4 linked regions of the Elephas maximus indicus genome follow. The protein of the gene in region 3 interacts with the protein of the main gene of each other region in a biochemical or structural test. Links are inferred from orthologs where the notes say so. Each region holds a gene or a part of one and is shown on either strand. Other genes may lie near its edges.

Region 1 (7,094 bases), on a different chromosome or scaffold from region 3:
TTTCCATCTGGGGTTCCCTGTTTCCATTGATCCAGTTCCTGTCCCTTCCTGTCTTCTTGTCCTGCTTTTGGACAGGATCTGCCCATTTGGTCTTGTGTATTTGATTGAACTAAGAAGCACACTCCTCACATGTATTAATTTTTGTTTTATAGGCCGGTCTAATCTTTATCTGAAAAGTGAGTTTCAAGAATGGTCTCAGTTCTGGGTTAGCAGAGCATCTGGGGGCCATAGTTTCAGGGGTTTTTCCAATCTCTGCCGCACCAGTGAAGTCTGGTCTTTTTACTTGAATGTGAATTCTGTTCTACATTTTTCTCCTGCTGTCTCTGGGGCTCTCTGTTATGATCCCTGACAAGGGAGTTGTTGGTGGTAAGCCGGTACCATCTAGTTCTTCTGATCTCAGGCTGGTTGAGTCTCTGGTTCATGTGGTCTTTCAGTCCTTTGGGCTAATATTGTTCTTGTGTCTTGGGTTTTCTTCATTCTTCTTCGCTCTGGGTGATTTTTTTTTTTTTTCAATACTTTTAAGTGTAGAAATTCCACTTGTTTCTTTTTTATAAACTATTTTTCTACTAAGATTCTCTATTTAAATATCTTTTCCTTTAATTCCTTGAAACATTTCCTTTTATTTTTAAAATAGCTGTTTTGAAGAGATTGTCTTCTAAATCTAATATTTGGGCCCACTCAAAGTCAATTTCTATTGATTTTTTTTTCCCCTGTAAGCGGGTGACACTTTCCTGTTTCTTTGCATGAATTCCTTTCTTTGTTGAAAATGTAATATTTTGTATATTTCGGCAACTCTAGATGCCATTTTATTTTTCTGAGCGTTTTGTTTTTTGCATCTCACCTAGAATTAAACTGCGGATCTGCCTTTCCAATGGGTTGTGATTCTTGTGTTTCTGCTCGGTTTATTGTTTTTAATATTTATTTTTGGTGTAAACATACACAGCAGATCATATATCCATTCAACAATTTCTACAACGGATAGTTCAATAACATTGGTTACATTTTTCATGTTGTAACACTATTCTTGCTATCTGTCCCCGTGTTTTTTCACTACCATTGACTTACACTCACTGCCCCATAGACCACTCATCTTGCTTTAGAGTTACTGTTGTTAATTTGGTCTGACACAGATCAATTCTTTAATCTTTTTTTTTATTCTGATTTTTATCTTTAACCTGGCTTTCTAGAGGTTACCCCATGTCTGCATGGCTGAGTGATCTGTCAATGAGCTGAGCAAAAGTTGTACTCAAACAACTTGAGCTTGTCTTCCTCCTTCTGTCAATTAATCTATGTGTGGATGGAGGAATGCATTCAAAATTACTACCAGTTCCCAAATCCGCCTTGGCTTTCACTTTTTTTTCAGTGGGTCTCTTGGGTTACTACCACACATGTACAGTTTCCCAGTCATTCAGAGATGTGTGGAGAACAGCGCTTCAATGACTCTTATTTCCAGTATCTCCCAGCTATATTTCTGCCTGGTTTGCCATTTACTCTACCTAGAACTGCAACTTTGGGGTAGCAAAGATATGAGTTTTCCCTGTTCATTTGCAACTGAGTTTGCTACCTTTAACTGGTAAAGCCATTTTTTTTTTTTTTTACCTTCTACCACAAATTGAGTCCATCTCCTCTGGCAGCAAAGCTGCTGGTTTTCTTGGGTAGCCTACTCATGCTGGTAGTATTTGTTCTTCTCAATGGAGCTGAGGCAACAATGGAGGATAGGAGCGGCCTTAGGCAAGTAGGCCATAGACTTCCACTGTTCCTATTTGAAGTTCTATCACTTTTTCTAGATGCCTCTAAAGTTGTCATCTATGTTTAGTTGACTTCCAGTGTTCTAAATGGTTGTTTTTGACAATTTTTTCCAGTTTTATACTTGTTTTGTGTACAGAGGAATTGCTGACCTGTCATGCTGTCGTAACTAAAGTCCCTTCCACAGATTCTTTTTATGTAGGTAGTAACCTATATTAGTCATGATCTTTCAGTGTCATAAGAGAAGTCCAACTCAATTAGTTAGGACTTTCAGAATTCTGAGTACAGAAAACCCAATACAGACTGGCTTGAACAATATAGAAAACTTATGGATCACAATTCACAAAAGGTATGATACTGCAGCTCTAATTATGCCATCAAGAACAAGGTTTTTCTTCATCTCCCCAGCACTCAATTAATAGTATTGATGTCATCCTGAGGCTTTACCGGTGCCTTCCTCCACTGGTGCCCTCCTCCGTAAGCCAGCATACCTCCAGGTTCCCCCCTTATAGGAAGAAAACAGTTACCATATTTCCAGACCTCATATACTCACATCATACCAGAAGTGTGAGGAAGCTGCATTTTACTAGAAGCCCAGTACAAGTTTCTGCAGAGCTCACTGGCCGTCTTTAAAACTCAGAGCTCTGCAGAGCTCACAGTTGCAAGAGGATATGGATATGCTGCATGGCTTAAATAGGTGAAACAAATGCCTGAGAGTCAACCAACAAATATCTTCTATGCCCACAAAAACTGGCCCTAAATAACGACAAATAAATGAATATACTGGCTCACCCAGCTAGACTCACATGCTCACAACCACTTAAGGATCAGCCTCTGAGACTGAAACTACAGTCATTATGCGGCCAGCTCTGCTTTCTCTCCTCTTCATTTCTCCTTTCTTTTCTGTTTCCGTCCTTTGGCCTCTTTTATTCTTACTGCAGACAGGCCTCTTTATGTTGCAGGGCATATGGCCATGAGCAAAACCTCAGCAGAACGCTTTTTTTTTCCCGTTCTCTGTCCATATAGCAATTTCAGGCAAGGGCTCCATAATGCCCAGCTTGGGTCAGTGCCTATCCTTTGGCCCAATGCATGTTGCCAAAGGCAAAGAGTATTATTGCAATTGGCACCATTGCATGCCCATCCCAGTGGTTAGAACAGATTGTTCTATTGCCAGAAGGGGCAATGAGAAAGCTTTTACACAGTCAGAAAAACAATGGCTACCCCATACCGTCTCAGTTCTAATTGTGGGAGACCTTTTGCTTGCCAGCCAGCACTTAACTACTGTGCCACCAGGCCTGAACTTTACTGGGTAGGAAATGCAGAGCGCAGGAGACAAATTTATCAGATTTTAGAAAAACTGCAGGATGGATTGCAGCGGTCATGTGGGGATGGAAGTGATTGTGAAGGACTATCTACCCCAAATCCTCTCTCTTCCCTAATAAACAGCCAAATTTTATAAAACAAGAACACTTCCAACAAACCAACCAACCCGGGTTTCCAGCCTTCAAGGAGCATCAGCAGAACAATTCTTTAAGCCTTGGAAGGACTTTCCTTAGCCCTCACTTCTGGAGTAATCCAGTTACTTCCACTCTTCCTCATGATTCAGTTGTTTGCGCGCTGAACATGTGTCTGGGCATTTCTAACTCAAGTATTGCTTTGTAAATGTGCCAAAGAGGGTGGTAGAAGACAGCAATTCCGCAGCCGGCCAAGAACCAAGGGCTGATCCTGTCAACACTCATTTCAGGAATTCCGCGGACGGTCCTTCCGTGGAAGTTTTACACCAGCCTTTTTTCCCCCACTGGCCCTCGCCGCTTCCTTTTTCCAAGGCCCTCAAGCAAGAGTTCCCACCGCAATAAAAGGTTCCGCACCCAGTCGGAAGCCAGGAAGACGCCCCACCCAGCGGCAGGCTGGGCCGGCCTCCCAGGCTCGTCTAACTGGTTAGGACGACTAAAGCAAGCCGGCACAAGATTGGAGCTTCGGTAGCTGAGGACACAGGCTGGTCAGAGCGTGGAGAGGAAAGCTATTTCCTTTCTCAAGACCATCACAAGAGCTGTCCCAAACGATCTTGGCTAATACGTTTATGGGGTAGGTGTTCGTCCCACCCAGTCCCCCAAGACCAGAACTGCGCAGGCGCCTGCACAATCCTAGCGCGGCGCGCACTCTCGCGCGCTCCCTCTGTCCCCGGAGCGAGCGCCTGGGCCGGAGGAAGCGCGGAGCTTCCTGGGTGTTGTAGTGTGCTCCTTCTACGAGCGGCCCCGTGAAGGCCCAGAGTGGGGCGTACGAGAACTACTTCTCCCGGCGTGCCTCGCGCGAGGGCACGGGGCGTTTGCCCTTGACGGCCTAAGCAGTCAGTCTACGGGCGACAGGAACCCGGGAAGCTGGCAGCGGCGGGAGGACTGAATGCGCGTGCGCATTGAGCCGGCTCGTCCTGTTTCGTCCCAGTCATTGTAAACAGGCGGAGGCTGGGCGGGGTGGGAATGGGGCTCCTGAGGCCGACCGGGGGCGCCGCGCAGGAGGCGGCTACGGTGGCTGCGACGGCAGCGTGAGCGCGGGGAGGCGGCGGCTGCGGCAGCAGGCACAGGTCAGTCGCGTGGAGTGGTGGTGTGCCGGATCGCCACGATGCCCCTCGCCTGCCCGAGGACCCGTCTCCGGCGCCGGCCTCGCACCGAGTCTGTCAGGCAGCGTGCTGGGCTCGGCGCTCGCCGCACTCCGTTTTGGAGTTGGGGGTTGGGGGGCGTGGCTGCCCTAATATTGATTCATACTGGGCAAGGTTCGTCCCCATTTCTTGCTGGCTTGGTAACCGTCCCCCCAACTTGCGGGGCGGGCCTACCCTAACGGCATCTGCATTTGTGATTTGGTGCTCCCGGGGTCTGTAGAAGAGTTAGGAACCAAGGACCCCCCTGATTCTCCAGGCCCCAGGAGAGCTCTTTAAGGCACACCTGAACGGAGGAGAGAGGACTCAGCCTTTTATATTATCATTAGTTTTTAGTCTTTTCCGAAATATTGACCTGTCTCCAGTGCATGCTGAGGGGACTAGAAAAAGGTTCTTAGTTTTTCCCAGCGCTGGCATTGAAGCACTGGGGGTCCGTTGGGGACTTTGGTCCTTAGTTTGGGTTTTACTGGGAAAGGACTGGCAGCTCTAGCGTTGAGGATGCTTTTCACAACTGTTCTTCAAATATGTTTTTCAAATATGCTTGTGCCAAAATGCTCTTAATTGAGGTCAGCTTTTTTTTTTTTTTTTTTTTATCCTGTAGTCTTGCGAGCGAAACAGGTTTTATAAAATATTGCACACCTCAGGCTTACCTGAGGTAATTAAGCTGTTTCAAGCTTTGGGATTCACTACTGCAGAGTAGCCCTCTTGAGCAAGCAGCATGTGTCCTCTAAGGCCTAGTAGAGTTCTTGAATATTGTTAAATTTCCAGTTGGAGTTATTTTGAAGGTATGTAAAAGAAGTACTGCAGTAGGTGCATTGACTTCAGTACCGATAAGAAAAGCTTTCACTAAACTTTTTGTTCAGTGGAGTGGGCGTGTTCTAATGGTGCAATACTTTGGATTGCATTCCATCATACTCGAGCAGTTATTCGCAAAGTATTTAAGTGGCGATAAGGAATAGGCCAGAGTACCTGGGTTGCACAAATGGTTAAGTGCTCAACTGCTACCTGGAAGGTTAGCACTTCAAACCCACCCAAAGGCGCCTCTGAAGACAGGCCTGGTGATCTGCTTCTGAAAGGTCACAGCCTTGAAAACCCTGTGGAGCACAGCTCCACTCTGCACACGTGCAGTCACCATGAGTCGTCATTGACTCCACAGCAGCTACCAACAAGGAATGGTTTGGTGCTCCCCATGGCAGCACATCTGAATGAGTGGGACTGCGAATGGGAAAGGTCACTTCACATTCTCCTTTTAGAATTATCAGGGCGACTTGATAATTCCTTTCTGAGTACCTGCCTGAACAGGAGTAATTAATGTGAGCTATAATAGTATTGGCAGTAGTAGGGGTAGGGAGGAAGTCAGTAGTGTAGTTCCCACTTTTCAGAGTGACCCACAGATCCAAGTCAGATAGGCTTTAGCAGTAGCTGTTGGAAAGTAATTCCTTAAATAATGTGTCTTGAAACAAAGTAACATTATAATTTAATTTGCTATCTCATCAACATGCTGTTTCTCATTATAGATCTTGCAGGGGCCATATCTCTTCTAATTTAGGAAGGTAGATGCGGCATCAGAAATGCACGTTAATTTGTACAGTTGTGTTTGTACAGTTGTTTGTTTAGCGAGGAGAGATTGGGTCCAGAATATAACCTGAAAATATGTTTTCTTTTTTGAAAGAAAATGCCTGGTAGAAGCTTGTGTTAGTATATGCAAGAGGGGACAAGGCGAAATGCACATCATTAGTATAAAGAGGAATTATGTAGCAGGTACTTTGCCAGATGAAGAGTTCTTCAAGATGGATAAGGCAGTGTCCCTGCCTTCAGAGTGATAAGACTCTCTTACTTGAACTGTCAACAAATGTAATACATTTTAAAGATTACATTGATTAGAAAAAGTATAGGGGTCCAGTGGGTGTAAAAGGAAGTAGTGATCAATTTCTGAAAGGCAGAGAAAGGGATTGAGGAAGGAGGGGGTGGTAAGGAAAAACTAGATCTAGTGGGTGATGAAAACAAGTGTAAACCAAAAAAACCAAACCCGTTGCCGTCGAGTCGATTCCGACTCGTAGAGACCCTATAGAACAGAGTAGTACTGCCGCAGAGAGTTTCCACGGAGTGCCTGGTGGATTCAAACTGCCGACCTTTTGGTTAGCAGCCACAGCACTTAACCACTATGTCGCTAGGGTATGTAGGCATAAAAAAGATGGACAATTTGGTGGATGGAACAGTGAGCAAAAGCATGGGAGTCTAAAATTACATGGGGAGTTGTAGGATCTGCAAGTAGTTTGTATAGTTGGCTAGAGTACAGGGTGGTGGCAAGACATGAAACTGGGGAGGTAGGCAGAGACCAGACTATGGATGGTCTCGTATGCCATTGAAGTAATTGCAACTTTATCTTGTAGGCACACAGGAGTCATTGAGAAAGGACAAAGAAGGGACACCTAAACCAGCTGAATCCATTTTTAACTCCCTGCTGAGTCCCTGGGTGGTACAAAGGGTACAAAGTATTCTGCTGCTAACTGAAAGATTCACGGTTTGAATCTACCCAGAGGTACCTCAGAAGAAGGACCTGGCAATCTATTTTGGAAATGTCATAGCCATTGAAAACCCTATGGAGCACAGTTCTACTCTGAAACACATGGGTTGCCATGAATTGGAATTGACTGGACATCAACTGATTTGGTTTTGTTCATGTGTCAGGCAC
Region 2 (7,201 bases), on a different chromosome or scaffold from region 3:
GATAATTTCCACATTCTGTTGGATCACCTTTGTTTGGAATGGGTACAGATACATATCTTTTATAGTCAGCTGACAAAGTAGCTATCTTCCAAATTTCTCGGCACAAATGAAAGAGCACATCCAGCGCTGCATCCATTTGTTGAAATATCTCAATTGGTATTCCATGAGTTCCTGGAGCCTTGTTTTTCGGCAATGTCTTCAGTGCAGCTTGGACTTCTTCCTTCAATACCATCGGCTCTTGATCATATATGCTACCTCCTGAAATGGTTGAACATCGACCAATTCTTTTTGGTACAGTGACTCTGTGTATTCCTTCTGTCTTTTTTTTATGCTTCCTTTGTCATTCAATATTTTCCCCATAGAATCCTTCAATACTGCAACTCAAGTCTTGGATTTTTTCTTCAGTTCTTTCAGCTTGATAAATGCCAAGCATAGTCATCCCTTCTGGTTTTCTATCACTAGGTCTTGGCACATTTCATTATAATACTTTGTCTTCTCTAATCACATTTAGAAAACATTCTGTTCAGCTCATTTACTTCATCATTTCTTCCACGTTCTACATTCAAGAGCAAATCTCAGAGTCTCTTCTGGCAACCATTTTGGTCTTTTCTTTCTTTCCTGTCTTTTTAATGACCTTATGCTTTCTTTATGTATGATGTCCTTGATGTCATTCTACAACTCCTCTGGTCTTCGGTCATTAGTGTTCAGAGCATCAAATCTATTCTTGAGATGTTTCTAAATCCATGTGGGATATACTTAAAATCATACTTTGGCTCTTGCAGACTGGTTTTAATTTTTTTTCTTTAGCTTCAACTTGAACTTGCATATGAACAATTGATGGTCTGTTCCAGAGTCGGCCCCTGGTCTTGTTCTGACTGATGATATTGAGCTTCTCCATCATCTTTTTTAAATCAGTTTGATTCCTGTGTATTCCAACCAGCAAGGTCCATGTGCATAGGCACTGTTGACCTTGTCAAAAAAAGGTATTTACAATGAATAAGTCTTTGCTCTTGCAAATTCTATCATGCAATTTCCAGCATTGTTTTTATCACCAAGACCATATTTTCCAACTACTGATCCTTCTTTGCTTCCAACTTTTGCATTCCAATCACCAGTAATTATCAATGTGTCTCGACTGAATATTTGATCAATTTCAGACTGCAGAAGTTGGTAAAAATCTTCAATTTCTTCATCTTTGGCTTTAGTGGTTGGTGTATAAATTTGAATAATATTTGGATTAACTGGTCTTGCTTGTAGACATATGGATATTACCCTATCACTGACAGCGTTGTACTTCAGGATAGATCTTGAAATACTCTTTTTGACTATGAATGTGACACCAGTCCCCTTCAATTTGTCATTCCCAGCATAGTAGATCATATGATTTTTCAATTCAAAATGACCAATACCTGTCCATTTCAGCTCACTAATGTCTAGGATATTGATGCTTATGTGTTCCATTTCATTTTTGATGACTTCCAATTTCCTAGATTCATACTTTGGACATTCCACAATTATTAATGGATATTTGCAGCTGTTTCTTCTCATTTTGAGTCATGCCACATCAGCAAATGAAGTTTCCAAAAGCTTTACTCCATCCACATCATTAGGGTCGACTCCACTTTGAAGAGGCAGCTCTTCCCCAGTCGTCTTTTGAGTGCCTTCCAACCTGAGGGGCTCATCTTCCGGCACTATATCAGATATATTCCACTGCTATTCGTAAGGTTTTCACTGGTTAATTTTTTTTAGAAGTAGAACGCCAGGTCCTTCTTCCTAGTCCGTCAGTCTGGAAGCTCTGCTGAAACCTGTCCACCGTAGGTGACCCTGCTGGTATTTGAAATACTGGTGGCATAGCTTCCAGCATCACAGCAACACACAAACCACCACAGTATGACAAAAGACAGACGAGTGATGATGGTGATGCTAACCCTCATTAAGTACCAGGTAATGTTCCAAGCCCTTTGCAAATATTAACTCATTTAATCCAATCAACAACTCTACCAGGTAGGTATTCCTTTCCTCCATCTTACAGACAAGAAAAGTGAGGGACAGTTACATGATTTTCCAGTTTTATACAGCTTGAAAGCAAAGAATCAAGACTCAAACCCAGGCTGTCTGACTCCAGAATCAGCACTACACTAGACTCCTCTAAAGTTACTTTTTGTTGAGACCAACATTGGCAATCTGGTTGTTACATCCATCCCTGTCTTCTGGGAATGGCCAGGGTGAGTCAGCTTCTGGCTCAGCATGACCAGCTCTGGGGCACTAATTAGTGGGAATTTTGTGAGGCTCTGGACTGTGGCTTCACCTAGAAAGTGCCACCCTGTGTGGCTCAGCCAATATAACCGGCTTGCTTCCTGGGCAATGAATGGCCCTCCCCACTTCAGTATCCTAAACCACGTCAAAGGCCAACCCTCCCGGCACTTAGAATCTGGGTGCTCCTGGGTGGTAAGCAACATGGGAGAAGGCAGCAGAACATGCTGGGAAAGTCAGTGAACTGGGAATCAGGAGGCTGAGCCCTAGGCTCACCAGCTATGGTACTTTAGACAAGTCCCCATCCCTTTGTGTGCCTCAGTTTCCCATGTGTTGGATCACATGGACTCTTACAGTAAGTCCAGTTCCAAATGAAGAGTCGATTGAACCCGTGAATGTGCTGGTTCTTGCCCAATGTGCTGAGAAGTGGATGGAAGGGGGTGAGCAACAGAGCACAGAACCCAGGGCAGCCAGGTTCAGAGTTTGATTTCAAAGCCAGCTCATGGCCTTTATGGGACAATGCTCTGCCCACAGTGTTTCTGCTACCTACAGAGGGGCTGCCATCCGCGGCATTTGGGGCGAAGGCTCTGCGGGGTGGAGTGAAGGTTTCTCTCCCTCAGGTGACTCCTTCTCAGTTCTGGCAGAAGGAGAAGGGGGGAGGAGGAAGTCAAAAGTGCTGTCCATCTGGAAGGGCTGTAGGGAAAAACTTAAGGAAATGGAGAAAGAGAGAGCTGCATCCCAGAGCTGGCGATAGGATGGCGAGCTGCGGGGTAAACCCAAATGAAGACTCCAAGGTCTGGCGGAGCCGCTCACCCCTACCCTGCGAGCTCGGCCTAGAGGGGGCGCTGCGGCCTCCTCCACGCCGTGCGCGCGAGGTTCCAGCTGTGTTCCCAGCGCTGTAGCGCAATGCGCGCACAGCTTTTCCTCTTTTTTCTTTTCTTAGCTGCAGGCTAGCCCTGAAGGGCACTGACGTCTCCCCCTTCATTTTGGGGTCCCCAGGCCCAGCCCTTTCCCAGGCAAAACTGAGCAGGCACCTAGCTTGTAAAATGAATAAATGAAAATAGATGAATGAATGAATGGGAAGGGCTCTCTAGCCGAGCTTTCGCGTCTCAGCGCGCACCGGGCGTGTCAGTATCAAAGGCTCTGGGGGTCGGGCCCTGGCGTCAGGCGCTGGCTGGAGTGGGGGCGGCGGGGACCCTCTCCTTGCCAGCGCAAGCGAGAACTGCCCAAACGCAGTTCCCAGCTTCACCCCATCTCCGCGGCGGCTCGACTCTGCTGGGCCGTCCGATTCTCCAGCTTCCAATAGCCTCACTCTCATAGACCCTTCGGAGCCCCCTAACCCTTCCCAAATTCCGTTGGACTTCCCGGGCCCGATTTCAGATAAGACGGGCGGCGGGAGGCTGCTACTTCCCCCGCCCCCCATCCTCGGCTTCTCCCTGGGCTGCGGTGGCCGCCACCGCCGCCAGCGCGTCCCGCGGACTGCCGCAAACCCGGGCCCAGGGAAAGGGGTCAGCGAGGGAGGGCGCGAGGAGGAGGCCGAGGGAAGGCAGTGGACAGAGGTGGAGGGAGGGGGCGGGAACGGAGGGGCGAGGCGCGGAGGAGGGACCAAGAGGAAGGGAGGGGACAGAGAGGGGAGGGGAAGCGCGAGGCTGGGGGCGGGGAGCCAGGCGAGAAGCCGCGCGGACCGAGGGGGAGGCGGCAGGGGCGAGGCGCGCTCGGAGCTGGCGATAAGCTGCTGCAGACTGGGGCTGAGTCGGGGAACCGCCGCGGGACTTCCCCGCGAAGGACCCAGCCAGAGCCCGCCAGGCCGGGCCGAGCTGCGGGGCCGAGGAGTGCGGCGACAAGCACCTCCGCGCGGGGCAGCGACCTGGGAGCCCCGCCGCCCACTCTGCGCCACCCTAGCTAGCAACCGCCCGCCGGCCCCTCTGTGATGTTCGAGGGACCTAGGCATCCAGGACCGTGACTGAGCGAGCCCGAGGATGGGACGGCGCCCGCAGCTCCTGCTTGTCAAGGTAGGAGCGCGCAGGGCAGCCCTCGAGCCTGGCGCCCCCGGCCGCCGGCTGGCGCGGGGCGGCTGGCAGGGGTGGATGCGGGGAGCGCGGGGCAGAGAGGTGCCCGGGTCCGGGGCAGCGGAGGTCTGAGGAGCAACCGAACTCCCGGGACCGGAGCCGGGGCTGGGTGGGTGGGGGAGCTCAGGTGAAAAAAGAAACCGTGTGGCGACACTGCCGGGATGCTGGCGGAGGAGGTTGCCCGCCCACCGGCGGGAATGGCTGGGTGCGGAGACTCGCTCCAAGCTGTGGGGGCTGAAGCTCGTTTCTACGTCCCATCCCGCCCATGCGGAGCGCGGCCATGGGATAGGAGGCTCTGGAGGTGGGTCCCCACCCTGTTCCTAGCACCCTTTTATCGGCTCCCCTACTCTGCACGCCCCAGCCTCCAGTCCTGGGACCTCCTCCCTGCCCCTTCGGCTCTGCGGAAAGCGGCAAACCCAAGGAGATTAATGTCCCTCGCGCCTCCGCCGAGCCCTTGATGGATATCGCAGCCTCCGGGGAGGGGACGGTGTCTCCAATGGTGGGGCGAGCTCCTCCGCCGCTGCTGGCCGGCCGGGAGCGGCAACCCGGGAGCGCAGCGCTTGTTCTCCGAGCCTTTGCACCGGCAGGTCCCGGCGCTGCTCCGCCGGCCGCGTCTGCTCGTTCCTGCCCCGGGCCTGGCGACGCGATTTCGGGCCCCGGAGTTTAGGAAAGTGGCCAGGTCGCACGCCTAGCGTCTGCCGGCTGAAGTTCCGGGGCGGCGGAGCCCTGCCCGCGGGCGGTGGGAGCCGACGATGGGCTGGGGGACAGACAGGCCCGCCACTAGTGACAGCCGCCGCTTCCCCGCGCGGGGCGCTTCCCAAAGCGTTTCGGCTCCCTGGGTGCAGGCACGTCTGCAGCAGCGGGCTGGAGAATGGGTGGGCCTCGGGCCATCGCCGGGGAGCCCAGCGCTGCGCTCGCCAGCTCACCGCGTTGCCGCGGATCTCGGGACTCCGCAGGGTCGGTGTGGACCCTCTGAGCCGCCAACACCAGTTAACCAGGCTTGGTGCATTTAAAAGCGATTTCATTCAAAAGAATGGAATGGATTTGGGGGAGGGGTGCGGATTGATTGAATTTTATTTTTCCATCCGTTATTAAACCAACTGTGCGTATACCGGCTCACAAAGTGGTTTCATTGAGTTAAACCACCAAGCTTTTAAAACAAATTGCTGTGGCTCAGCAGCTGAGACGTTCCCAGTTATTAAGGGTTTTCCTTTCCTCTTCCCAGCCCAAATATTTTATCAGTGGTTGTTTAAAAAAAATGACACAAGGTTGGTCAGATGGAACCCATACCTTCCCTCCCCCCCGCCTTTAGCTGAGGGCTGGGGTGAACCCAGGGAATATTTTCTGCGTGATCACCCAGACCTGGCAAGACAGGTAGAAAGAAAAATACCAGAGAGGATGAATGGATGGCATTCGATGGGAACATTTTCCAAAAAGCTCCTGTGTACCAAACCTTGGTCTAAATTCACAAATCAGACTGAATTCAATCTTTTACATGGATTCAAGGGATGGAACAAAAGCCAGTGGTTTTGTTTTGTGACCCCCCCCCCCCCCGCCCCAAGTTTACTTGGTAATAGGTAAATGTTCTTTCTCTGGCTTTTCTTAGAACTGTATTCAAATCTCTATTTATAATTATCAGGTTGTACTTCTTTCTTTTTTTATTTTTTTACCAGATAACGGGGTCTGTGCCCTTTGTGTCTGGTCTAATGAACTCAGTAGGTGCTCAATCAATGCTGACCCAATGCAGGGCAGTGAGTGAATGGAGGGTTAATGCTGGCTTCAATTCAATACTTGCTTGGTTTTTTTTTTCTTTTATTTATGTAGCATGTGCAAGTTGCAGGACAACGTTCTACCTGCATTGCAAATATTATCATTTTATCCGCATAACAGCCCTAGGAGGTAGGGAGTAAAACCCCATTTTTATAGAGGAAGAAACTGAAGTAAAGAGAGGCTAAGTAACCTCTCCGAAGCCACACAGCTAGTAATTGATGGAGTCAGAACTCAAACTCCAGCCCTAAGACTTTGTTTTGTTAGCTTTTGCCAGAAAACATTCTAAACCACTTCTGTCTCACTTTAGACCTGCACCAGATGAGAGCTCAGTTTGCTTTGTGAGTGTGAATCTAGGGAAGTTATGGAAAATCCAGAATCCGGCTCTGTCCCCAACAAAGTCTGGCTCTGTCGGCCAGTTTTGGGAAAGGATCCACTCTGGGCCTAGCTCCTTACCGGAGTCCCTGGAGGCTCGCATCCACCCGAACGTGTTTTGGAAGAAAGACCTGGTGACCTTCCTCCTAAAAATCAGCCGTCGAAAACCCAATGGAGACCAGGTCTACTCTGACACACATGGGAACGACCCAGTAGCACCTGTTTTTTTTAAAAAACACTGTACCGGTTACAGTGTACTGCGGGAGAGTGTGTGTGAGCGTGTACGCATGAGTGACAGTGTGCGTGTGTGTGAGTGTACCTGAGTGAAAGATGTGTGAGTGGGAGTGTGTATGGGAAGAGCTGCGTATGAGTGTGTACTGAGGGTACATGTGTGTGAATGCGGGAGCAAGAAGTGCTGTGAATGTGCATGAGTGCATATGTGTGCGTGAAGAAGAGGTGTGTGTGTGTTGGAGTGTGCTTGATGAGAAAGAGCTGAGAGAGATGAGTGTCAGTGAGGGGGAAGAGAGAGGTGAGATATTTTCTCGACCCCCAGGGGAGGGTTGGGGTCATCTACCCACCAGCTGCAGCTCCCCACAGGGAGACCCAAGTATGGCTCAAAATTGTGGTTCCAGTGATTGTGAGGGGCAGAGAAGGCACAGCTATGTGGGTTAGGGAGCGTGAATTCTGAGGGAACTGGTTGCATTGCTTTTGTTATTGTAGAAGCCATCTCACAGCGT
Region 3 (7,031 bases):
TGAAAGGGATAAATCTAGTTCAGTGGGTTTGAAAACTTTTCAAGGTATCTGAAGGAGCCCAAAGCACTTTGCTTTATATATCAGAGCTTGTGTTCAAAACATAAGATTTTGTTTTTAAAAATTATCTAACTGCTTATGAAGGGGTGGGAGACCCTTAATAATCACTGTTCTACTTCACCACTGCATTCTACAGCTAACACAGGTTCTTTTTTAAAAACAATGTTATCACTTCAAACTTAAGCTACACTTAAGAATAAAACTCTACCTCAATTTTCTTGTCTGTAAAGTTATTATCAAGGTCGTCTCTGAGATCATGTCCAGTCTAAAATTCTGACTCCACAAACGCAATGTTTAAACAGGGTCTACGTTAAGGCAATGAATGCTCTTGAACACAGCAGAACCCTACAGTGCTCCTGAGAAAGGCATATCAAGTACAGAACCAAGTCAACAATAATTCAGTTAACGACCTTCTGAGTTCTGAAACATTTCTGCAATGTCTTCCATCTTTTAATACTTTTAATACTTAATGCTAAGATATGAAACACTGTTATCAAAGACCACTGGTATAATCATGCTGAAATTATTCTGGTTATTAGGTATTTTCGGAAAACATACCGGTGTATCAAAAACATACAACTCACTGAAGACATTCAAGGTGATGAATGCCTCATAGAAAGCCAAGTACCTCATTCTCTTTGATTTAAAATAACAGAATTCAAAGGAAGATTACGCCTAATAGACACATAACGGTCACAAAGTTTTATTCTCACCTATTAAAGCCTGAAAGAGGTTGCTCTGAAATATGTTGATAACCCGCTCTATGGAACTTCTGAGCTGCCTGTCCTCAGTTTGGCTTAGTTTCGAACGATACTCTTCCAAAAGGTGCAACGCTCTCTGGGTATCTAAAAGGAGAAAAAGGCCTGATTGAAATTATATATTCACGACAAAGTATTACCCACTAGCTATGCAGACAAATGATTGTGCAAGACATCTCAGCAATTCCCAAAATCCTCCAGGTCAACTGATGTCACCAGGTACATGTAAACGTACAGTCTCCAGGAAGATCAAAAAAAATTTTTTTAAACACGTTACTTGACAGTAGAAAAAGGAGGCAGGTGAGTAATTTCTAATAAATGTGTGCTGGTAGCCAGCCACAGTAAAAGATTAAGGTATTACCAACATAATTTCAGATTACCTGACATGCAAAAGCTGCAATTTGTCGTTATAACTCAAATCCTAAGTATTTGCAAAATACTAGTACTTAATATCCCACATTTGCTCACAAAATAGTAAGAAGTATAAAGTGACACACTAAAATACCAATTCAGAGTTGAAAGATTTCAGGAGAAAATATTAACTGACTCTCTAGTAACTGGTGAGCTGTCAAGGAAAAAGTTTTAACATTTAGGTTTCTTCTGAAATAAAGTGAAGCTTAAATTCCCCAAATCGTAAAGCTAGGACCGTGCTGTTTCATCAAAGTTACACAAGCATTCTGAAAGGTAACAATCACAAAACAGATACATGGAAAACTAAGTGACACCCACACGAGACACTTCTGAGACAAATTCTCACCTTGCTTCCGGACCGGCATTTTCCTCCAGAATCAGGAAGAGGGCACACACCTTTAAAGCCACAAACACAAAGGAAAAAGAATACAGTCGTCGTTAAACTAGCATTTCTCCCCACACTCCATATCGGAAAAACTCCCAGGCCCACTGGAACAGCCCACCTTGCAAAGTTTTCCCAAGTCAAAGGGAGGGACTCAAAACCCAGCGCTGTCAATCAATCTAGAAGGCTTTCACCTCGGGGTGGGTACCCTTCCAGATGAAGAGCACACAGAAATGCATTCTTGCAAATTCTCCTCGAAAGCTTCCTCCTCCTCCAAGAACACTAAACGCCTAGACCTGGGGCCACCTCCCCAACCCTGGCCCCAGTATCCGGCCTCGCCACCTGCTACGGGGGGAGGGGTCAAGAGGCGCTCCGACCCTTGGCCCCGGAGCCAGCCCAGCGGCGGCCGCCAAGCGCTCCCGAAGGGACCCACCGGGCTGAGCACCCGCCCTGTTCCAGCCCCCTCCTCTCGCTTGCCTTTCTCCTTGCTCGCTCTCTCCGGGCTACTCCGGCGGGGCCCGGACAGGACAGCGGCCGCTCTCCGCGACGCCCTCGCGCCCCACATGCACGCCTCCGCGGTCCCCCACACCTGCGGCTCCGCCACAAAGTTCCTGCGAGAGGCGTGGGCTCCGAGCGGGGTGCGCTCCGAAGCGACTCGGGGCGGCTGCCCCGCCCTGCCCTGCTCCACGTCCCCCCGCCCCGCCCGGGGCTCGAGGAGCTGAGCTGAGAGGGGTGAGGGGACGGGGGAGGAGCTCCCCTCCGCGGCCGCACCCCCGCTGCCTCTCCCTCCTCCTCGAACGCCGCCGCAGCCTCCGCGCTCGCCGCAGCCCGCTAGCCCGCTCGCCCTCTCCGTTCCCGGCCGCCCCACCCCCGGAACCTCGCCTCCTTCCGCGCCCCCAACCGCTCTCCCCCCAAACTTTCCGCCAAGATGGCGGCCTCGGAGCTGGACTGCCGCGCCCCCACGTGACCGCGTTCCCGGCGCTCTCAGCCAATGGGAAGTGAGGAGGCGGCTCGCGCCGAGCCCGGGGCTCCCGGCGCTGCTACCTTCGGGTTAAACGGGGAGCAGGGCCGGGAGGGGGCTGCGGCGCGGGCAGGGGGACTCGGAGAGCGTCCCAAGTGATCCTTCTCCCTTAAAGGGGCGGCCACTGAAGTGGCGCCGAGGACAAAGGAGTTGACACGCAGACTCTACAGGTGGTCCCGGGTAGCCATGGAAGAGCCCGCCTTTACCTAGCCCACCGGTGTCCCGCGGTTCTGAGCTAAAAGCGCGCCGAGCCCGCAAGGGTCCAGGTGTCTGAAGAGACGTGACCTCCCTCACACTGGATCCAGCACACACATTCGTATACACCCTTAACCTCACTAAACACGTGCTGTTTCCAACTCCGAGGCAGCCGAGAGTGCCTGGCGCCCCCGGGGGTGGGTCCCCAGCCGGGTGAAGCGGCATTGGGGAGGAGCAGACCGCACCACCCACGTGTGGGGCGGGGACAGCGGGGATTGGGAGGAGAAAAGGAGAAGAGCTAGGGCGGGGGTGCCACCTCAACACTTTGTACTGGTTTTTGCAAAGTTACTCTTCGCTCCTCATAAAGAGTTTGGAAGTTTTGAATTAAAGAAGGGCACGTAAAATAGGAAGATTGGGTAATTTGGTAAGACTTTGAGAGATGTAGTAGAGAATTTTTTAAATGACTAATTCCCAGTATAAGTGCATTTAAGGGTGAGGAGGCTCGTTGGTTCATTCACTCACTCATTCATTCCCCTGCGCCTGCGTCTTCGCCCAGCCATCAGTCTCAGGTATTACCCAAACTCTGGTGGCCCCTTTAAGAGTTCACCTGTAATCCTGCAAGGCTGAGCCGCCCTCAGCCAGTAGGGCTGGTCTAAGTTTCGACTGAATCTCGAAGAGGGAAAATGGGCCAGGATCCTGCTCTGGGGCAGAGCCACCCGGATTGTTGAACGGGAACCGTGGAAAGCCCAGGTCTTCTAGTCTGTGGATAACAAGAACCTCCCTTCTCTAAGGTCCAGAGAAAAGGATTTGCCCAAGGTCACCCGGAATTAGTGGCAGAACTGGAAACCCGGAGCTCCTGTCTTACAAAACCGGAAGGTTCTTCCTAGCAAACCTGACAGCCTTTCATTAAGACTGCATCACGGGTACTTCGTATTGAAACCGCAACAGCTACCCAGAGCTGGGTTGACCACTGGCTGGGTTTCACTTCTGGGTTGCACTTCGGAATCCTAACTTGTAACCTAACGACCTCAGAGCTCATCTAGACCCGCTCTCTCGATTTAAGTTAAAGAAACTGAGGTCCAGAGAGATGAGGTAAATTGCCCAGGAACATACAGGCTAATCAGTAACAGAGCAGACCCAGAAATAGGGTATCCTAGCTCCAGTCCAGGGCTCATTCCAGTGCGATTTTAGACAACATGACAGAGGTGTGTTGGTATATTGGGAGCAAATCGCTATGCTATTCTGGGTCAAGCATCTTGGGAGCTTGAGCAACAGTTAAAGCAACAATGCATGGAGGAAACAGGATGGAAGGATGGAAGTTTTTTAATAGTGAAAATAACTAATGGTGTGAGTGTTACGATTGATCAAGCTTCAGCGATCAACTGTGAATGGAATGATAAGGAGTGGAACCTAAGAATGGAATCTCTTCAGAATTCAGGAGGGAAGTTTGCCCTCTCCCTTAAAATACCGTTCAGTGTTCATATATGTTCACTTGCTAGCCAATGGGGATAAAAATAAATAAGATCCAATCCCTGCTTTCAAGGACCCACAGCTTAAGACCAAATGGATAGAATCCAATGTAGCCTTTCCCAGGGGTCACCGAGGAGTTAAAGACAAAATTTGTCTTAACTCTCAAAGTCATTCTAGTCCTCCTCTAAAAAACGAAGGGGGTGGGGGTGGGGCTAACAGAAGAGGAGACAAGAAGAGGCATCGCCCTTTTTTCTTGTCATCCTCTAGTCCTATATAGTTGTCAGCAGCGTCCAAAAGCAGGAATGAAGCTAGTGCTTCTTCCATTCTCAAGTCTAGGCTTGGGGAGGGGGACCTTTACTGCTTGTTCCTCCTTTCTACCCATTCGTGTTAATTATTTGTTGCTGCATAGGAAATTACTTCAAAGCTTTAAACTTAGTAGCTTAGTTACTTAAATGGCAATAAGCAATATCTCAGAGTCTGTGGGTCGGGCCCTGCTGGTGCAATGGTTAAGAGCAAAAGGTCAGCAGTTTGAATCCACCAGCCACTCCTTGGAAACCCTATGAGACAGATCTACTCTGTCTTAAGGAATTCGGAAGCGGCTTAGCTGGATGGTCCTAGTTCAGGGTCTCGTGAGGTTGTCGTCAAAATGTCTACCAAGGTTGCAGTCATCTGAAGGCTTGGCTGGGGCTAAAGGACCCTCTTCCAAGATGGCTTACTCATATGTTGACAGGCAGACTCAGTTTTTCACCATGTAGACCTCTTACACCTCTTCATAGGGCTCCTTGAGTGTTCTCATGACATGGTGGCTGAATGTCCCCAGAGAAAGTGATCCAAGAGGGCAAGGCAAAAGCCACAATGTTTATGACCTACATTCCAAAGTAACACTCCGTCATTTGCACAACATCCTACTGATTACCCAGGTCAGCCTCAAGGGCATGAATACCACTGGGAACCATCTTGGCAGCTGGCCACCGCATTATCACAACATACAAAACAATGACATTTGGAGTTTTTCAAACAACTTCCATTTCCTCAACATCTTCCTTACTTTATGTTGTTAGAAGCTGCCATTGAATAGGACCCCATATAGGATCTGATTGCTTTTCCAACCTCTGCATTCAAAAACAATATATGTTTGAAAAAAGGAAGTTACTACTAAAACAAGATGGTGGCTGGTAACTCTGCACAACTTTCTAGCCCCAAGTTAATTCTCTTTCAAGTACCTGAAAAGGCTTAGGAGTCAAAAAAGCTCAAGGAAAGGCTCAAATCTTCCATTCCTCTGTTGAGACGTTGGAGATCCAATATCAAACAATACTGTCTCTCAGTTTCAAACCTTCTCTTCCTAACCATCCTTCTACCCAAGCCACCCTTCTAGCACCGCGTCTCTGTCTTTGTCCTCTCCAGGACCCCAACCTATCCTCTGTAAAGGTGCCCAGGCCCTGCCAGATTCTACTGAATCTTTTGCTCTTACTACAGGAGAATGGCTGCTTGCTGCCTGTGCCAAGACAATCACTAAAAGGAAAGGAATTGATGCTGTCAAAAAAAGCTTATGGTAGCTTAGGCTGCAAGAAGAGGAATGGAATGTCGAGAATGGTGGAAGTGACCATGCTTGGCCTGGTCAGACCTCCACTAGGGCTCAGGGACATTTCCTGGCAGCACACTTTAAGAGGAATCTAGACAAACCAGCACCCGGAAAGAAGAGAGTAGCCAGGGCAGTCAGGGATATGAAACCCTTATAGAAGCTAGGGCCATTCATTGGGAAAAGAGTAGGCTCTGGGAAACTTGATTTCAATCTTCAAACTGGCTAATTTTATGTTTACACGGGGCAAACCTAAAACCAAGGATGAAAGTTACAGGGACACGGGAAGTTCTTCCTTAACATGACTTGTCAAAACTGTCCAAAAATCCAAAGAACTGCCTCAAGTGGTGGAGAGTTTTACATCAACAAGCAGAGGCTGCATGAACCCAGCAAGGCCTTCTTTTCAGGTGTTAGGTACATGAACAAGACGGAGGGTTAAACTAGGTGACTTCTGAGACCACAGTTCTAAGCCCTCAAACTTTAGCCCTTGCCATGGCATTAGTATTACTTTATATACATCAAGATTTCATTCTACTGAAGACTGACTTCCTTCTGCATAGATAATTCTTACCTTCAGAATAAAAAATACAATTGAAACCAATTTTTTTTTAAGTATGTACAACTGTCCATCTCCATGACAATTACTTACTGAACTCATGCTTGAGGGACTCACCCTCAAATTTCTATATTGTGGTGTAATGGGTTCCTAAGTGGGAGTAGGACAAATAACTACCTCCCATTTAAACACATAATAATACCCTTACAACAGTATAGCTCTTCATTCATTGTTCGAAGGGCAGATTTAACTTACTTCATTCTCACAGCAATCTATGAGATAAACTTATTGCTTATTATCTCTCCCTTTGCAGAGGAAAACACTGAGGAAGAAGGAAATAAATAACCTAGTCTAGGACACCACAACTAGCTGGTAATGGATCTAGGACTGAATGTTACTTCACTGGTTTTTTCCATTAGGCTACATTGCTTTTTTTCTACTTGCCTCCTTTCTTTAAAAAAGACAAAAAACTGTGTGTGAGAGAGAGAGAGAAAGGGAGGGGGTGCTGAGAAAGATTTCAGATAAAGTAAAGCATAAATAATGCATTGGTCTTTTGCATATTTATTATATAAATATATTTGAATGCCTTGAACACTGGAGAG
Region 4 (7,189 bases), on a different chromosome or scaffold from region 3:
CTCTGCCACCAGCTTCCAAGCAACCCTACTCTTGGAGCACCTCTGTCCCTTACTGCTCACCAATCAGGAGAGTCCAGGGTTCCAGGTCCAGCTGATCCCACCTGACCTTTCTGGCACCCATCTGGACTCGGCCTCTGCTAACACAAACTCGACCCACAATGATACCTTTGTCCTTGGGTAATTCTGCCTGGCCAAGCTTGGGACTGGGATGCACACACAGTTTGGGGCAGGATTTGGGCTGTGTAAAACACACCAACACAGAAAACAGCCCCATTCACAAGGTGGCCAGGGGCTTAGCTCCATTGAGTGCTCTCAACGGGGGCAATTTTGCTCCCAGAAGACACTTAGCAGTGTCTGGAGACATTTTTTCGGCCAAAACTAGGGGAGGGGTCCTACAGGCATCTAGTGGGCAGAGGCCAGGGAAGCTGCCAAACAGCCTGCAATGTACAGGATAGCCCCTACGACACAGAATGACCAGAACAAAATATCAACAGTGTCCAGGTCAAGGCTAACTGGAGGCTCACCTTCACGGAGAAAGGCGAGGGATGGAGACCCACCTGGGCCTGCCCACCTCAAACACAGCCCTCCCACCCCAGCCACAGCCCTCCCACCCCAGCAGAAGTGTCCCACATACCTCTTTACAATGACGCTCTAGGCACCAGTAGTTACCAGATAAAAAACAACCCCCCCAGCTCAACAGGTCAGGGCCTGCCCTCCCCCCCAAGGCCACCCATCACTCCCTAGCTCCCAGCTCTGAATCTGAACGTTCCTATAACCGTAGGCCCCCCTTGCACCATCGGCTGGACTCCAGACACCCAGGGCCAGCTTGCGCACATAGCGTGTTCCCCAGGAAGCACACGGTGGAAATCAGAACCCTGACAGGTACCCTGACACGTACCCCCACAGGTGACACTTCCCCCGCTCCCTGGCTCTGAAAGGCACACACAGGCTTTGTCCTCCAAACGCTTGCTCACCTATGTGTAGTCCCTCATTGAACTTCTGGAAAATGGGTCATTTCTCTTTCTGAAAGGTGAGGAAACCAGATGCATAGGGAATGTGACCTGCCCGGGGCCACTCTGCTGGTCAGCATGGAGTCAGGTGAGGACCCAGACACACCCCAAACAGGAGGCTGCACACAAGCAAATCGGGCAAGCGAGGGTTCTGGACTCATCCACAGGGTCACTACAGATAGAGATGCTGTGATGCACAGCATTGATCACCCAAGCACCATGCCACAGCTAAGAAGACAAGCACCGAGGTCGACCCAGAAACCAAAACTGAAACTCCAAGAGCCAAGCTCCCCATGGGTGTCCAGGCAGGAAGCAATGAGGGAGACCCCTGCCAGGCTCACTCAGTCTCATCCTCAGTGACATCAGCTTAGGGTGGGAAGTCTTCCGAGACACCCAGCTCCTACCTGGACTGTGGAGATGCTCCTTCTGTCAGCCCGGATCATGCGCAGAGCTGACCCTATAACTGAGATTCTTGTTTTCTCTGGGACTGCGGCATCATTAAGGGTATGGCTGAGCCGGAACAGGAGCTCAGCAGCAGTAGCTGACTGACTGAACAATCTCTGCCTGGGCTCTCCTATTACTCCCATTTTACAGGTGAGGAAACTGAGGCACAGAGTGGTCCAATAATTTGCCTTAGTTCACACAAAGCCAGAATGTGAGCCCAGCTGGCCTGGATATACTAGGCTGCCGGGTGGGTGGTGGCATTGTACGCAGGGCGCAGGGTAGGGATCCTCCTGCTAGCCTCAGCCAGGACCTGCAGGTGCCATGCATCACTGGCCTGGGGTGGCCCAACAATGACCCCTGAGCCCCTCGCTAAGTGGTGCACAGGGGGTTCACCTTGGGGATACAGGGAAGGGTCGGTCCCTGCCCAGGCCTGATGGGGAGGCCACCACCCACTTGTCTTCACTACTACCTACTTAGCCCAGCACTTGCTCAAATCCTCAAAGGAATCCCTGCTTCTGTTCTACAGATGCAAAAACTGAGGCTGGGGCTGCTAAGACCCAGTATGTGGCCCCCGTAGCTTTCATTAGCAGAAGCTGCCAGGCTTCCCCTCTTAGCTGGAGGCACAGAGCTGACAGGGCTCCTCCACCAGCCCCCACCACCCCCACCCCCCACACACACCGAGGAGGGTTCCTTCTTGGGCTGCTCTGAACTCTCAGGGCTAAAGGAGGTTTGGAAGCCCATCCTGGGAAGAGTTCCTGGGCAGGTCATTCTGTCCACTTTCCTGACCCCGCCTTCAAACTCCCTGGGCTTCCTAAGAGTCCCTCAGCTCTGATGTCAAGACCGAGCTACCTGGAGGCAGAAAATTCTTTAGGGCCAGGATGTGTCCCCCTGGGGGTTCAAGGGAGGGCCGGAAGGTCGGTGGGAAGGGCTCAAGGGAGGGCAAGGGGCAGGCAGTGGGACATCCGAGGCCAGGATGGGAGGGTGCTCTATTCCCTCCCGCAGGGAGAGGGGTTGGGGCGAGGGCACAGAATTGTCAGAGACACGGGGCAGGGCTTGCGGGAAAAGCCAAAGGAAGGGAAGGCGCACCCCCCAGGCTTAGCTGCCCCTACCCCCAGGCTTACCTGCGCCGCGGGCGGTCGGGCGGCCGGTCCAATCCCCAGGCTCGGCGTTCTGTACTCCCTGCGGCGCTCGGTCCCTCCCGGTCCCCGCCCTCCCCCACTTCCTGTGCAGCCAGCCCGGCGGCAGGGGCGGCGGCGAGCTCCAGCCCGGCCCAGGTGGGCTCCCGTGCGGGCTGCAGGACGCGGCCCGGCGGCTGCGGGTCTGGGGCCCCGTCGGAGGGCGGGCGCGCGCTACCGACGAGCGAGAGGGACGGGACGGAGCGAGCCCGGGCACCTGCTGCTACCGCGCCTCACCTAGCTGGTCGCCTGCGTCACCGTCTGCTCCTGGGCCGGCCCGCACCCACGTGACGCGCAGCCTGGTCCGGCTCGCCCCTCCGGAATGGGCCGGAGTCCGCTGGCTGCGCCGCTCCTGGGAGCTCAGCGCGGCTCGCGACCGGTCCCCTCCGCCCAGGGCCGCGAGGGGCGGGGCGGGACGGGGGTGGGGGGAGCCGAGGGAGGAGGAGGGGCGTCCCGGCGTTGGGACCGGAGTGCCTGGGCTTCCAAGATCGTGTCCCTGAATCAACTCCCACTGTCCTTCCGGCCCTCCACCTCCTCCAGGAAGCCCTCGGGGAAGGAGACCACCGGAGTCAGTGGCAACTCACTCAGTGCTGTGTTCAGGCAACCTGGTGTTTGCAAGAAGCTGGCGCCTGACCCACGGATTCCCTACTTGCCAGCCTCCACAACCGCCTTTTTTTGAGCCCTTCTTGGGGGCTGGAGCAGATTTTGCTGCATCAGGCATTTCTGAGTGAAAAGAGCTGAAGCAGCTCTGGGGGGAAAGCATTCAGAAGGTGGGCTATTTCTGCAGCTGCCGAAAGGCGTCCCTGACTGGAGCAAACTGTTTACTCGGGTAGTGTACTAACCTAACAATGACCGCACCCAACAACAACTAACCTAAAGTTTGTCAGTTGGAACCCACCCAGTAGTGCCATGGAAGAAAGGCTTGGCGATCTGCTTCCATAAAGATTGTTGTGCTGTTAGGTGCTCGGGAGTAGATTCCAAATCCTAGTGACACCATGTGACAGAGTAGAACTACCACCATAGGTTTTCAGAGTAGAATGGCCAAGAAAACCCTATAGAGGCAGTTCTACTCTGTCACATAGGGTCACCATGTGTCAGCAACGGGATTTGTGTTTTTGGTGGCTACAGAAAACGGCCCACCTTCTGCATGCTTCCCCTCCAGAGCTGCTCCAGCTCTTTTCAAGCAGAAATGCTTGATCCAGCGAAATCTGCTCCAGCCCCCAAGAAGGGCTCAAAAAAAGGCAGTTGTGGAGCCTGGAAAGACCCAAATCCATGGAGGCTTCTCCTGACTCTCGTGGTTGCAGGGGCTGATGAACCCAAAATCAGCAGGTCAGGGGGCAGGTTGCTGGCTCACATCCCAAGAACCGGAGGTCAGATGACCACGAGTCAGATGCAGGATCCAGAGCAAGAATTGGGCCTTGCCGGATCATCTGTTTATATACTGGAGACAGGCCACACCCTCAAGGAAACTCTGCTTTCAACTGATTGGCTGCTCATAGTAGATGTCATCATGGAGGTAATTACATTGCATCAGATCTCAGCATGGAGGTGATTACATTGTATCAGGTCTCATCATGGAGGTGATTGCATTATATCACATTATGGAAGAGCAAGCAGCCTGCCAAACCCCTGAGAATCAGGGTGCTCAGCCACCTCCCCTGCTGTAAGCCCTGAGATGTCAGGCTTGCTTGTTATGCAGCAGCATCTGCAGACCCTGACTGATGATTCCTCTCTCCTGGCCCTTCACCCAAGGCTGGTCCAAGAGTGAAAGCTGGTCTGGACGTGGATTAGTGCCACTGCCCCAGAAAAGGGCCACAAAACTTGAGACCTAGAGGAAGATCAGGAGTCAGCTTGATGAGAGGCGACAGAAAAGTATTCTAGGCAGGGGCATGGCACATGTGAAGGCCCTGAGGTGGGAAGGAGCCTGTGGGGCTGGGAGCAGAGAGAGCCTGGGAGCAGGGTGGTATGAGAGTGGGGACAGGCTGGACCCCTTGTGGCTGGGGAAGGGGGGTGGGAAGTCTGTCTTCATTTCAAGAGCAGGGAGGAAGTCATGGTTTAGCAAGGGGGCAGCCCCTCCCAGTGGCAGGAGCAACCCAAGGAGGCACCATGATCAGATGTGGTGGAAAGGCCCCTCTGGCTGCCAGGGAAAGAGCGGGATGAAGATGGCTGAGACAGACACCCTGACTCCCTAACCCAGACCAAGCCTGAGTGTGTTGAAGCTGATGCTATCCTGCCTCTGCTTGAACACTTCCAGGACGGGGAGCTTACCACTTCCCAAGACATACTATTTCATTGTTCCTTGCTACTGTCTTTCTGTAATTCTTCATATTACATAAATTCTGTATTGTTCGTCATTGCAGGCACTCCACCTTTCCCCAAGACGCTTCATTCTGCCCAAATCCTATTTAAAAAGTGGTCACCAGAACAGAGCTCAAAGCCTAGGATGAGAAGAAGAGAAACAACGCTCACCTCTTCTTTTCTAGATGCTATTACCTCTGTTAAGGCAGCCTCTTCTTGCCGAGACTATGATGTATATCCATCCCATAGTACCAAGTCCAGGGCCCTGCATACAAAAGGTGCTCAGCAAGTGCCTGGTGCCTCACAGATGTGACCCAAGATTCTAGACCTCAGCTGAAGAAGTGCCAGCTCCACTCCTGACTCCATCTCCATGGCCCACTTTTCAGGAAAGGCCATTGCCAAAGTTTCCATTTGGATACTCCATTTGGGCACTGGCAGCCCAGGAGTAGACCGGACCTCATCCCAGTGCCGCCTCCCCAGGGCCTGGTAGCCACGTGAGCTTGCTGCCCTCTGCTGGGTGAGGACAGCTCCTCAGGCTCCAGGCCCTGCCTTGGCATTTTCTTGGTGTCCTGGTTTGGACGGTGGTGCTGCCCAGCAAACCTGCAGCCTGGCCTGCTCAGTCCCTGCCCAGCAACTTCCCTCCTCCCTGTCCCCAGTGTTTGCCAAGCAGAGGGGCCGGGGCTGCTAGGGAGCCCGGAGGTGCTCTCCTGTGTGCAGGGGCCACCTGAGCAAGGGCACAGGCTGGCCATGTCGGTCCCCAGTGTGGAGTGAGGGGCGAAGAAGGGCTGGTCCGTGGATGGTGATCTGGGACCCGGAGCCTCTTGGCTCCTGGACTGACTTCTGGGTAAACCAAAAAACCAAACCCACTGCCGTCGAGTTGATTCTGACTCATAGCAGCCCTGTAGGACAGAATAGAACTGCTCCATAGAGTTGCCAAGGAGCACCTGGTAGATTCGAACTGCCGACCTTTTGGTTAGCAGCTGTAGCACATAACCACTACGCCACCAGGGTTTCCGACTTCTGAAGCTCCTAGAAAAGGCGGGCAGGCTCTGACCCCTGTGGCTATGCCAGGCCTGTACCTCTATGGCCCAGCACACAGGAGGAAGAGGAGCAGCTGTGGTAGTGGAAGAGGGGCCTGGACATGGTACCACTAAGGCCAAGCCTGTCCTGCCCTTCCTGGCCTCCCCACCAGCCTGGTAAGAGTGTCAGCCTCAGGGAATGTAAAGCAGCCCTGGGAGCTGGCCTGCCATGTGGCCTGTAGTTTCAAACGTCTGGGCCACTTGGGGTCATCTCCTCTTTCCTCTCATCCCCCAGAGTCCTGGAGATGACCCCACTGTTAGAGCACTGCGCTCCCAGCCCCTACCCCCCTGTGGTTCTGGGGACAGAGCAAGCTCCTGATGCTTGTCTTGGAAGGTAAGAGATGGCTCCTGCCCAGGCACTCACTAAGTGAGGGGACCACCCACAGGGTCCCTGGCAGGGGGAAGAGTCTGGACCCCCAACCCTGACGGCTATTGGAGATTTGCTGTAAGGATGTCACCGCTTGCTGTCTGCAGGAGGAGCTGGCCCCTTTGCTGTGGTTGAGGGGTCCTGTGCACCTGTGAGGCCTGCTTTAAGTCACCCAGACTTGTGCTTGGCCTACTTTGGGTCGTGTCTGGGCATGACCCAAAGAGATAGAACCTTCAGGCCAGCACCCCCAGGAGGCTGAGGCTGTGGGACATGTTCTCTAGGCCAGGACCGGGTGGCAGTGCCAGCCTGCCCACCCGGCCTTCCCTGGGGGCATGGCACTTGCCCCAGGAATGTGGGGGGCGGAAGGAAAGGGCCGAACACCCACGCCTTTCTTTTCAGGCCTTGGCATTGGGCTGGCCTGTCCTTCCCTGCAGGGCTGCCTCTGCCCTGCCTGCAGGCGGCTGGGAAAGGGCTCCCGTTGACCTTTGATGATACAGAGCTGCCAGGGGGCCTGTGGACAGAGGCTGCTCTGTCTGAGCTGGCTACTGGAAGACCCACGGAGGGGTGGGGCCAGCAGGCGGGTGAGGGGGTGTGGGGGGTAAGCGGGCCAAGCCGTTTCACTGGCCCACCAGGATGGTTTTGCTAAGCAGGCGGCTCGGCTCAGGAAGCAAGTGGCTGCTCCTCTGGCAGCCCCAAAGCAGCAAATGGGAACTTGACAAGAGAGTTGTCACCTTCTATGAAGCGCCTACTGTGTGCCAGGCCTGGTGCTAGGTGTTTTACAGGCACCGTCTTATTAAATTCTTACAAGAACTCTCT

Evidence for each region.
Region 1: the proteins of DLG1 (region 3) and RALBP1 interact in a test that uses a peptide from one of them, tested with the Homo sapiens proteins (2 studies listed by IntAct, with this or other methods). The link is inferred for Elephas maximus indicus from reciprocal best matches to the Homo sapiens genes DLG1 and RALBP1.
Region 2: the proteins of DLG1 (region 3) and CRHR1 form a complex in vitro, tested with the Homo sapiens proteins (3 studies listed by BioGRID and IntAct, with this or other methods). The link is inferred for Elephas maximus indicus from reciprocal best matches to the Homo sapiens genes DLG1 and CRHR1.
Region 4: the proteins of DLG1 (region 3) and ARHGEF16 interact in a test that uses a peptide from one of them, tested with the Homo sapiens proteins (2 studies listed by IntAct, with this or other methods). The link is inferred for Elephas maximus indicus from reciprocal best matches to the Homo sapiens genes DLG1 and ARHGEF16.

What each region holds. Positions count from the first base shown.
Region 1 is NC_064829.1:13,772,955-13,780,048, reverse strand, and holds the start of RALBP1 (ralA-binding protein 1), read left to right. Parts: upstream 1-4,088; 5' UTR 4,089-4,327; intron 4,328-7,094. UniProt on the Homo sapiens protein: Multifunctional protein that functions as a downstream effector of RALA and RALB. As a GTPase-activating protein/GAP can inactivate CDC42 and RAC1 by stimulating their GTPase activity.
Region 2 is NC_064837.1:52,544,661-52,551,861, forward strand, and holds the start of CRHR1 (corticotropin-releasing factor receptor 1), read left to right. Parts: upstream 1-4,192; 5' UTR 4,193-4,232; coding exon 4,233-4,265; intron 4,266-7,201.
Region 3 is NC_064819.1:18,851,801-18,858,831, forward strand, and holds the start of DLG1 (disks large homolog 1), read right to left. Parts: upstream 3,010-7,031; 5' UTR 2,836-3,009; intron 2,176-2,835; exon of another isoform or gene 2,086-2,175; intron 1,623-2,085; 5' UTR 1,592-1,622; coding exon 1,573-1,591; intron 903-1,572; coding exon 771-902; intron 1-770. UniProt on the Homo sapiens protein: Essential multidomain scaffolding protein required for normal development. Recruits channels, receptors and signaling molecules to discrete plasma membrane domains in polarized cells.
Region 4 is NC_064821.1:42,076,842-42,084,030, reverse strand, and holds the start of ARHGEF16 (rho guanine nucleotide exchange factor 16), read right to left. Parts: upstream 3,015-7,189; 5' UTR 2,867-3,014; exon of another isoform or gene 2,576-2,866; intron 2,020-2,575; exon of another isoform or gene 975-2,019; intron 519-974; exon of another isoform or gene 1-518. UniProt on the Homo sapiens protein: Guanyl-nucleotide exchange factor of the RHOG GTPase stimulating the exchange of RHOG-associated GDP for GTP. May play a role in chemotactic cell migration by mediating the activation of RAC1 by EPHA2.